2 linked regions of the Drosophila melanogaster genome follow. The protein of the gene in region 2 purifies or fractionates together with the protein of the main gene of each other region. This does not show direct contact. Each region holds a gene or a part of one and is shown on either strand. Other genes may lie near its edges.

The links. Proteins that work in one complex are often made in the same cells at the same time.
Region 1: the proteins of Slh (region 2) and gammaSnap2 purify together in Drosophila melanogaster (affinity purification with mass spectrometry, with the first as the bait; one large-scale study listed by BioGRID). This does not show direct contact.

Annotation. Positions count from the first base shown.
Region 1 is NT_033777.3:10,119,840-10,123,107, reverse strand, and holds gammaSnap2 (gamma soluble NSF attachment protein 2), read left to right. Parts: upstream 1-1,707; 5' UTR 1,708-1,733; coding exon 1,734-2,585; 3' UTR 2,586-2,709; downstream 2,710-3,268. Other genes in the region: knk (knickkopf), read left to right, coding at 1-584; ATPsynepsilonL (ATP synthase, epsilon subunit-like), read right to left, coding at 888-1,082.
Region 2 is NT_033779.5:2,487,676-2,494,300, forward strand, and holds Slh (SLY-1 homologous), read right to left. Parts: upstream 4,997-6,625; 5' UTR 4,846-4,996; coding exon 4,818-4,845; intron 4,744-4,817; coding exon 4,584-4,743; intron 4,527-4,583; coding exon 3,838-4,526; intron 3,768-3,837; coding exon 3,058-3,767; intron 3,004-3,057; coding exon 2,671-3,003; 3' UTR 522-2,670; downstream 1-521. Other genes in the region: oaf (out at first), read left to right, coding at 5,355-5,621. UniProt on the Drosophila melanogaster protein: Non-vital for development.

The DNA.
Region 1 (3,268 bases), on a different chromosome or scaffold from region 2:
TTCGTGGCTATCAGGGATTGACGAATCATGTGTCCAGTGGCTTGGCCTGGTACATCAACGGCTACATGATTCCAGAGCTTTACCTAAAGCGTGGTCTGACCTACACCTTTAAGGTTAGGGGTGGCAATAATCCTCACTCGCCGGAGCACTATCATCCGTTGGTTATCACCGATGATCCCCAGGGTGGGTATGACCGACTGTCTGATGCAAAGCAGAGTGAGATTCGTGTATTAGCCGGTGTTGAATTCACCCGGAGAGGCAGGCCCAAGCCCACGGCTGCTGGTCCCCTGTGCCTGTCCAGATATCCTCAAAATAGTGATCGTCGACTGGATGATAACTTCCCCACTTTCAAGAAGTTCAATCGATCCCTCATCACCGAGTGTGTAGAAGGGGAACCGGCTCTATTGGAAATTACACCGAATATCACATGGCCGGATACTGTGTACTACAACTCCTTTACCCATGGCAATATGGGCTGGAAGATTCACATCGTGGACAGTTATACCAACTTGAAGAGTGGATCGATGGGCTTATCCTGGTCCTTGTGCATCATCCTGCTACCGTGGCTCGTGCTCCAGAACTGACTGTTTTCTCATTCTTAGATTCTCCTATTTAGTGTCTTAGTCTAAATTAAGCAGTCACAATCTATGTATTTGATACGCGTGTGTAGAATGTATGCTAAATGTTGTGTATATTATTATTTATATGATATTTAAATACAGAACTGTGTTGTACTTTAGAAGAATGAGCTATGAAGTTTTGACCCAACAAAAAATCTAATATACATCATTTTTTCAGTGAATTAGATTTATTTGAAATGTTATTGTAGAATCATGGCAGCTGTTATTCTGGATGAAACATGGTGTACAAATCACCGAAATGGGCGCCTAAGATTCGGATTCACGTTCTACCTTCTTGCGCGGCACAGGCTTTCCGTTCACCCACGGAGTGAACTTCACATGGCTGATGTTTCGCTTGGCGGCGTCTGCACGGAGCTCAATGCGCAGGGCCTCTCGCACCACACGGGCTGCGATGTTGGAATACTGGATATAGGTAATACCCAGATCTCTCCAGGCTTTCATCTTGCAGTAATATGGGATTAACTATAAAGATGTTAGGATAATAAGTCAAAAAAAGCTATCTGCATATAAAGGATCTTACCTTCTTCCGTTAAGAATTCGATATAAAACCGAGCGACGGGTTTCTTTTCAAGATTTCGCACACGATTGGTAAAGCCTATGTTAATATTTAATTGCATTAAGTTACAATATCAAAGTAAGTTAAATCAAAGCGCCTTGCTACCTCCTCACTTTAAGATCTTTTAAGGCAAAGCACGTGTCTTTTTATCGATGTTTTTTTTTTATCCAGACAGGGCTACAAACTTAATCGAACTAGGAGTTCTATGGATGCGATAAAAGTTCGATTTGAAACCAAATCGATACAATTTTTTAAATATATTCAAAATCCAGCTTACATGAAATGTAAATATAGCTTACTTTTCACCCCCCAAGCTCGCATATTATATGGTATGCATTTATTTAATTAAATACAAATATATATTTTATGCAACTTTAGTAAAGCACTTAATATTACCATAATACCAGTGTCATACCCGCATAGAAAAGGAGCGGCCTTTTGTGTTTTTCTCGGCACTTGCGCACTTGGGCACACTTATTTGAATATAAGTCACTTGAATTGATTTTTTCAACACGCAAAGGTTGTAACTTAGCACTATGAGCACTCTTGATGCCAAAAAGATAGAAGAGGCGGAGGCCTTGATAGGACAGACGGATAGTGCCGCGAATGAGTATGCCAAAGCTGGTATGTATTTCAAGGCAGCAACCGCATATCGAATTGCCAAAAGTTTCGATAAGCGCAAGGATTGTCTTTTGAAGGCCATCGACTGTTACGAAAACAACAAGTCATGGTTCCATGCAGCCAAATCCTACGAGCAGATTATCCTGCTTGCCAAAGAAACGGACAAACTGTCCGAAGTGGAGGACTATGCCAATAGGGCTTGCTGTCTCTACCAGCAACATGGTTCGCCGGAAGCAGCAGCTGCTGCTCTCGATAAAGCCGCCAAAATGACGGAATCCAAGCATCCTGACTTGGCTTTGGGATTTTACAAACGCGCCCTGGCAGTCGTCTTGATTGGGGACTCCACTCATCAGGCATCGGAATTTGCATCGAAGGTTTCCCGGATATTGGTCAGACTCAAAAAATATGAAGAAGCCACGAAAGCCCTCAAAAAGGAAATAAGCCTAAATCTGCAGACAAAGTCTTACGGACAAGTTGGCCGTTTAGTAGTTGCTTTAATACTGGTACAATTAACACTAGAGGATTACGTGGATGCCAAGAAGACCTTCAAGAAATGGGGAAACCGTTGTGATCCCCAGGAGGTGAACACATTACAAAACCTACTCAAAGCTTTTGACGACGAGGATCCTGAGCTGGCCACCAAGATGCTGGCATCTCCATTCATAAGACACATGGACGTGGAGTACGCACTTTTATCTAAAGATGTGCCATTACCAAAAGGAAATCGTCAAATGACCAAAAATGCAGTCGACAATGCCGCAAACTAAAGAGCTTTTACAAAATGTGGTTTATAAATGTTGTAGTAGTTTTATTATTGTTCCTTAGGTGAAAAAGTTTCATAAATGTAGGTACACTGTTAAAAATATACAAAAATATAAAAAGTGCTAACTCAGAAAACGCATCAGGTGAATTTATAATGCCTTTCCACAACTTTTATACGAAACATATTTTTTACCTTTAAATTTATTGTTACTCAATCTTTTACACTACTTTTTATGCATTTTATACATATTTTTTACATATCCCTAAAATTATACTAATAGTTTTGAACATCGAGTTCTAATTAAAATTATATTCGCTTAATAATATGCAACGTTTGACAAAAAAATGTTTTCAAAATTAAAATTGACAAATACATTCACGAAAAAATCTTTAAAGCATGTGTTTTAAATTCTTTTCAAATAATTGGAGCTCTCACTTAAGAAATTCGTGTTCAATTTGATCAGGAAGCCCAGCTTAACATTAAGCCCTAATTTTATTTTGAGTTATCAATCGGCTTATTGGACTTTAGATTATTTTGGACTCTTCGCCGTGCTTGTATCTGCAGCAGATAAGATACAGTTGAGACCATGTGTATAATTAGCCGTCCCATCAATAAACTTATCCACTGGACACTCGCTCCAATCGCAGTGTCATTTCGCAACGAACAATCATGATGAAGTGTGGCCGG
Region 2 (6,625 bases):
TCCTCCTGCTCTCCAACTCCTACTCCTCGCAGGATGATCCATCCATCCGCGCTGCTCTTTTATTGCCGGCAAATATTTGGAACCTCTACCTCTGCGCTTCGGCTCGTTTCTTCTCCGCCGATGGGTGCTGTATTATTATTTGGCTGATTAATTAACATGCCGCTCCCGATCTCCAAAAGCGGACCACCGAGGGCGGCGATGCCCAGAAAATGTTTGTGGTAGCACCATCCCGGCTGGGAACAACAATGGGATATTCCAACAAAATGCTGACAAGGATAACACAAGGGTCCAACTGTGGGAGTCCACAGGTCTGGCGCAGATCAAACAAAATTAGAATGTAAAGTTGATGGACATGTGTTAGGGAGTTCCAGCTGAAGTAAACTATAGATGTATGTATATACTACTAAAGCATATCCAAAACAGTTCATAGGTTGCAAATACATTTATTTATATTTATTTTTTTGGATCATATGTATATATATTTATTTTTTGCTTGTGTACAATATCAAACATTGATGTTTAATAAGAGTGGGAAAAACTTATATTGCGCTTATAAAAACCATCAAAACCACAAGGGTTATGCCCTCCCATATGAACCCACATATCTGACCAGATCTCAGCAGACTCTCCACTTCGAGTCCATTCATTGGGTCTAAAGATCCCAACCCAAAGCTAAAGCTGAAGCTGTGTCTGAAGATCGCCTTCTCTGTCTGGCTGGCACTTCATTTTGTGGGATCGTCCGACTGCCTGACTGGCTGTTCGAGTCGGGCTCCTCGAATTTTGGAATTTGTTCTGCCTTGTTAAGAGTTGTTAAGATTATGATATATGTATGGGATGTCGGCGAGTGTGTGTCGGTGTGCTGGCGGAGATTGGGCGGCTGGGGCGCTGAGCGAGCGGATCGGGCGGGTCGGTCGGATCCGGCAGAATCATCCAGCAAGACGACGACAGCGGCAGCCATTATGATTCACAGCAGGAATGTGGGAAACGGCTGCCTGACCATTTTATTTTTTTTCTCGATTTTTGGGTCTCGACGGCGGAGGAGCTGCGCTGGCTACGAGATCCACACCACACAGATACTCACGCATACAGCGACAGTTGCATTTACCACATAATCGATTCATGCATGTGGCAAGTTAAGAATTTCTTTCATGTTGCGTTCTCGTTGTTAGTTTCTGTAGTCGTTTTTCCCTCTCATTTTTTCCTTATGATTTGTTTGAGCCGCATCTTTTCGGACCACCCGTGAAATCACTTTGGGTTACCAGTTTCTGGCTGGGAGTTCGACTTTTCGTTTCCCCTGTACTTTTATTTATTTATTTTTTTTTTCGAGTCTCTTGGATTTTTTTTTGGGTCTTGGGCTTTTGTTAAATTGCTCTTGTTTATGTTAACATTTAAATTGTGGCCACGGGTAGTCTGGATAGTAACCCAACCCCTGCCCGGCTGCCCAACCAAAACCAATATTTAAACTCAACGCTCCATGAATAATCATCGTCATCGTCATCATCTCTTCTTCGGCCTTTCATCAGGGCCATCAATTCTGATTTACCAAAAGTGTTAATTAGCCCACGGATCGCTTTTTTCTCCACCATATTTTACTCATTTTTTGTGGTATTTGTTTGCCGCTTATCTCGGGAAACTTCCTACAGTGGCCTGAATGTCATTGGAAATATTTTCAGTTCGAGCTTTTTCATTTCATGGGGAAAATTTCAGCATTTCGCTGGTCAAATGCCATTAAATTGAGGAAAATCTTAGAGATTTTATTACTTTACTACATTGGCCAATCTGTAGAATCAATTCTATAAACATTCTCTATCGTTGTTTTTACAATTGATTTCTATAATTTGGTATCGGTTAATAAGGTTCTTAAAACATTCCTTTTCCTGCCACTTCTTTTTCCTACTTGTTAGAATTTTCATTTACATCATCTTTTCTTGCAACACCAATTCAAACCAAAGATGGGCTTTCAGGGATAATTTAACGCTCTTCTTTGATGGACTTGGCCTGCCTGGCTGCCAGGCTGCCTGCCCGTCTCCCAAGGAAGCGACATTCAATCAGAGCTGCAGTGCTTCGAAAAAATGCGCCTAGTGCTCCAGTGCGCTGGCTATGCCATCGACAGCGACTTGCCTCGCCTCGATCCATTCATAGTTGGCCAGGGATAGTGCTAATTGCTGGGTGCTGTCCCTGCCAGCTTCTGCGCCTGTCCCCAAGTGCCGCGCATAGTTGTCGCCCCATAATTGTGGCACCGCCGCCGAAGGCAGCGGGCATCGGGATGGCTGGGCCATCATCGCCTCAGCCGTTGACTGGTTGTCTGTCAGCTGTCCATCAAAGCGTTGCCAAGTTGGTGTTAATGGGTGCCTAGAATGCGAGTACCCCTGCCCGCCGCCAAGCTCCCATTCCAGCAGCTCTGGCACCAGCTCCCTGGGCTTGTTGTACACGAGGCTACGCATGTTTTTGCTTGTTGTCCTTCGGGGATTAAGCGTCAGGTTGGAGTAATTGCCGAGTGCTGAGCTCTGGCTCTGCCGTTGCGTTCGCTTGCTTCTCTTTTTTGCCTGGCATTTAATTTATTTTTGGATATGCTTAAAGTAAACGAAAGAAGCCACACAGACACCCATGCACATGCAACCAAAACCCGGTCCACTCCGCTCAGCAGCAATGGAATCGGAGCAGCCGCTCCTAACTCGTCGCCGTCGGCGACTGGATCTCGCCGCCCAGGGCGGAGAGCTCCTTGAGGAACTGCCTCGCGTTGGTCAGCGTGGAAGCGCCATAAATGATGCGCCGTTGCACATTGGACGTTTGCTTCTGTTTGATGAAGTCCACCAGGTTCTGGTACTCGATGTAGTTGCCTCCGCCGACCATGAACACCACGGCGTCCTGGAATGGAGCACGATTTTTGGGCAGGACCTCGCCACCTTTGAGCAGCTTTGGATCCAGATAAAGGTAGTCATCCGTCTCCGCATTGCTGCGGCACTCCATCACCTGCTCGGTGATCTTGGTCACCGGAAGATTCTGCAAACAATTTTGATATAGAACTTGAATTTGAATTTGGAAAGAGAAACTCACATGTCGCTTGACCACCAGATTCTTGACGCCCTCCATCACGAAGGAGCTGCCCTGTGAGACGAGTTTAGTGAACATGGACACAGTCTTGGTGCCGCCACCCTCGTACTGTGTGGCTTGGCTAATGCTCGGCGAGCGGTTCATGATTCCCTTCCATCGTTGCACGTACGCAAGGGCAGTTAGGTCACAACCGGCAGCCTGCAGCGCCTCCTTGAGCCGCTCCTGCTCCGATTCGGGTAACTGCTGGGCGCAGATAAAGTAGATGATATACAGGCGCAGCTTGTCCTCCGCCTGACCAAACTCTCCATCTCGCAGTAGGTCCAGCAGCGGTCTGTCCAGTGTCTGCTTCGACATGACCTTCTCCTCGATCTCAAAAAACGAATCCAGTCGTCGAGCCTTAATGAAGTTCAGGATTGCAGTGGCGATCTTGGTGTGCATGTCGATCAGTCGCTTCTTCTCCATCAGTTGGGGCAGCGAATTGACGGCATTGGTGAGCCTGGCCGTTGTGTCATTGACCAAAGAGAATGCAATGTCCGACTCGCCCTCGATACCCATCGATGTCTTCAAGCGCTTGATCTCCTCCTCGGAGTTCCGATAGGATTCCAGCTCCTCCTGGATGGCTTCGGCCACCGTGGGAAATGGACTGCCCTTGTGCGTCATCCAGAAGCGGTCGTTGCGGTCCAAGTCACAGGCCTTGGGTTTTTTGCGGGCTCCTAAAGAATAGGAAAACGTAGTTGGTGAGTCTCAGTTATTCAGCGCCTTGATAAAAGTAATTTTACTTGCCCGCACTAGCCGTCTCGTCCTCCACGTAGACAAGATTCAGTCCCAAGTCCAGTACATCGTGCACAAGCGCCTGATACGACCAGGTGTGATGGAGCGGCGTGGCTAAATCCATGTTCCTGTCCAGCAGCAGGAGCACAGGTCTCTGAAAGCTGAACACTCCGCCGCCGGCTTGCGTGGCATCCATGTGGAACAAATTGGCACGCGCATCCCAAAGGTTCTCGCGCAGCTTCTTCTCCAGCTTGCGTGCCACCATTTCAGCGGCACTGTTCCGCGGACAGCGGATGATGGGCACATTGCCCAGGGTCACAAACAGGGCGAAGAGCGAGTCTACAATGGAGTCCATCAGGGCCTCCATCTCTTCATCGCGGGTGTTGGCCCGGTTGATGGCGTAGTATGAAAGCTGATCGCTCTGCTGGTGCTTTAGGATGAAGAAGTCATCCTCCAGACTGATGAAGTTCACATACTGGTCGTAAACGCGATGGATGTTGGCCACGCAGCCGGCATGCAGGGCTGCGGCGGCCAGATTCTCGATTTTGCTGCGCGTTATGGGAGCTAGGAAGTTCAGGTGGTACACGTCGTACAGTCCGCTCGAGAAGTCCTGCTGAATCCTGTCCAAATTCTCGTCGGTGGGCAGGCAGAAGTATATAGCCGGCACATCCGGAATGGAGTCGCGATCCGAGTGCAGTTGCCTGGAGGTTAACCAAAGCTATAATTTCTGGATTCCTGGAGGATCTCGCACAACTTACACATGCAGCGTCACGCCCAACTCGCGCAGCTCCTTGATGGAAATAATGGGCGATATGATGTCCTGGCCAACGCGATCGTAGATAAGGATCTTCCACACGGGCTCGGCAGCTAGGGCTTTCGGCTGCTGCGAGTTCAAATTAAGCATCTGCTTAATGGCATCTGCAATGATTAATATGAAAATCCATTAATTAGGTTTTCCCTTCAATGGGGGCATTGTTTTCATAGTTTCTCACTGATTTGGCGCTCCCGCAGGGTCAGCATTATATAGTCCGTCTTTAGCCCGTCCTTCTGAGTTAGTTTCAGTGGATTTTCAACAATCTATGTCCGTTTTAGCAGCTGAAAAACATATTTTACAAAAAAACAACACGTCACAAGCGACGGCGAGGCAACGCGTTTTGGGAAATTTTAGTGCATAGTACAGGCATCAGCTGTGCGGCTGGTGTGAACGTATGCAGTGGAAATTCCAATATGAATATTTAAATACTAAATGAAAATGAATGTAGTCTATTTATTCTATAGATATAGATATGTGTGCCAGTGTAATGCAGCTATATTGGGTTGGTATATTTTCTACAATCGAAATTCGTAGGCTCCTGTTCGAGAAGGTTGGCAGCACCCTTTGGGATTACCGCACGGTCACACCTGTCAGCTGATTTCGAAAAGTCACGTTTCAGTCAGTTTCACCATTTTCTGCCAGTTATTTTTCGTTCGTCGACGCGAGTGGTTCGTTGTGCTTTCTTGTGATTTTATTTAAAAGTTGTCGGATCGCAATGATCTTAAAGGAGGAGCACCCACACCAGAGCATCGAAACTGCCGCAAATGCGGCAAGGCAGGCGCAGGTCCGCTGGCGAATGGCGCATCTTAAGGCACTCAGCCGCACTCGAACACCAGCGCACGGCAATTGCTGCGGTCGCGTCGTCAGTAAAAATCACTTTTTCAAGCACAGTCGCGCGTTTCTGTGGTTCCTGCTGTGCAACTTAGTGATGAACGCGGACGCATTCGCCCACTCCCAGCTGCTCATTAACGTCCAAAATCAGGTGCGAAATCGCAAAAAAAAATGGTTTAAAACACTTAAATCCCAACAACGCAAAACGCAACAACGACAAACAGCGACGCTGGCAGCGCTGCCCATCTGATTTTCGAACATCTCATTTCGAAAATTTGCGCGCCAAAACAAAACAAATTTAAAACGCGGGAGAATGAGAGAGCGAAAGAGAGGTGCTCAAGACAAATAAACAAATCTGCGAAAACAACAAATTAAATATTAAAAAGATAGTAATTCAGTGACAGTTATTACAGCTATGACAGTAGAATATGACAAGTATATGTATCTGAAATTTAAAATTTGCCTAGTCATATTGTAAAATACGCCAATATATTGCTTTTAGAATTAGCAAGGATTCGGTATTTCATAAACAATGCTTAGTTCGTTCTTAAGAACACGCAGTTCATCCAATAAGTTGCAAATGTAAAGGATTGCACACACGCATACACAGCCCACGTTGATTCGTGCAGCACACATGTGCACAACAAATCATGTCCCCTATTGATTTATGCAAAATACAGGATTCTCCGAATGGAAACATGTTCTGTGAGCTTGTACTTCGCCGATATCTAATTAGTATACCGTTAAGTAGGCCAGATAATCCATCGATGCCTGATGACCATAAAACAAAGCTCTATTCTATATGCTTGCAACGCCATTATGTACATATGTATGTACATGCATATGTCGCAGCGTTGACATTTTCTTGTGCCTGATCTCCCATGTTGAGTGAAGCGAATTCCAACCGGCGTGCGCGATCGTCTGTATGCAACTGATCGTATTTTCTACGCATCGATCTATCCTTTACACACGCTAGTGTAGTCCAACTAGGCGACAGCGCGACAACGCCGTCGCCTCACTCGTAACGGTACTTTGACGCCAGTCATATTCTTCGTGATAGTCAAATTCTAAGAATGACCTCTCAATATACCGAACTCATTGCGCAGCTGCGTCTTGCAAGCACAGTGGTCAAACCATGGTAATAATATGACAGAC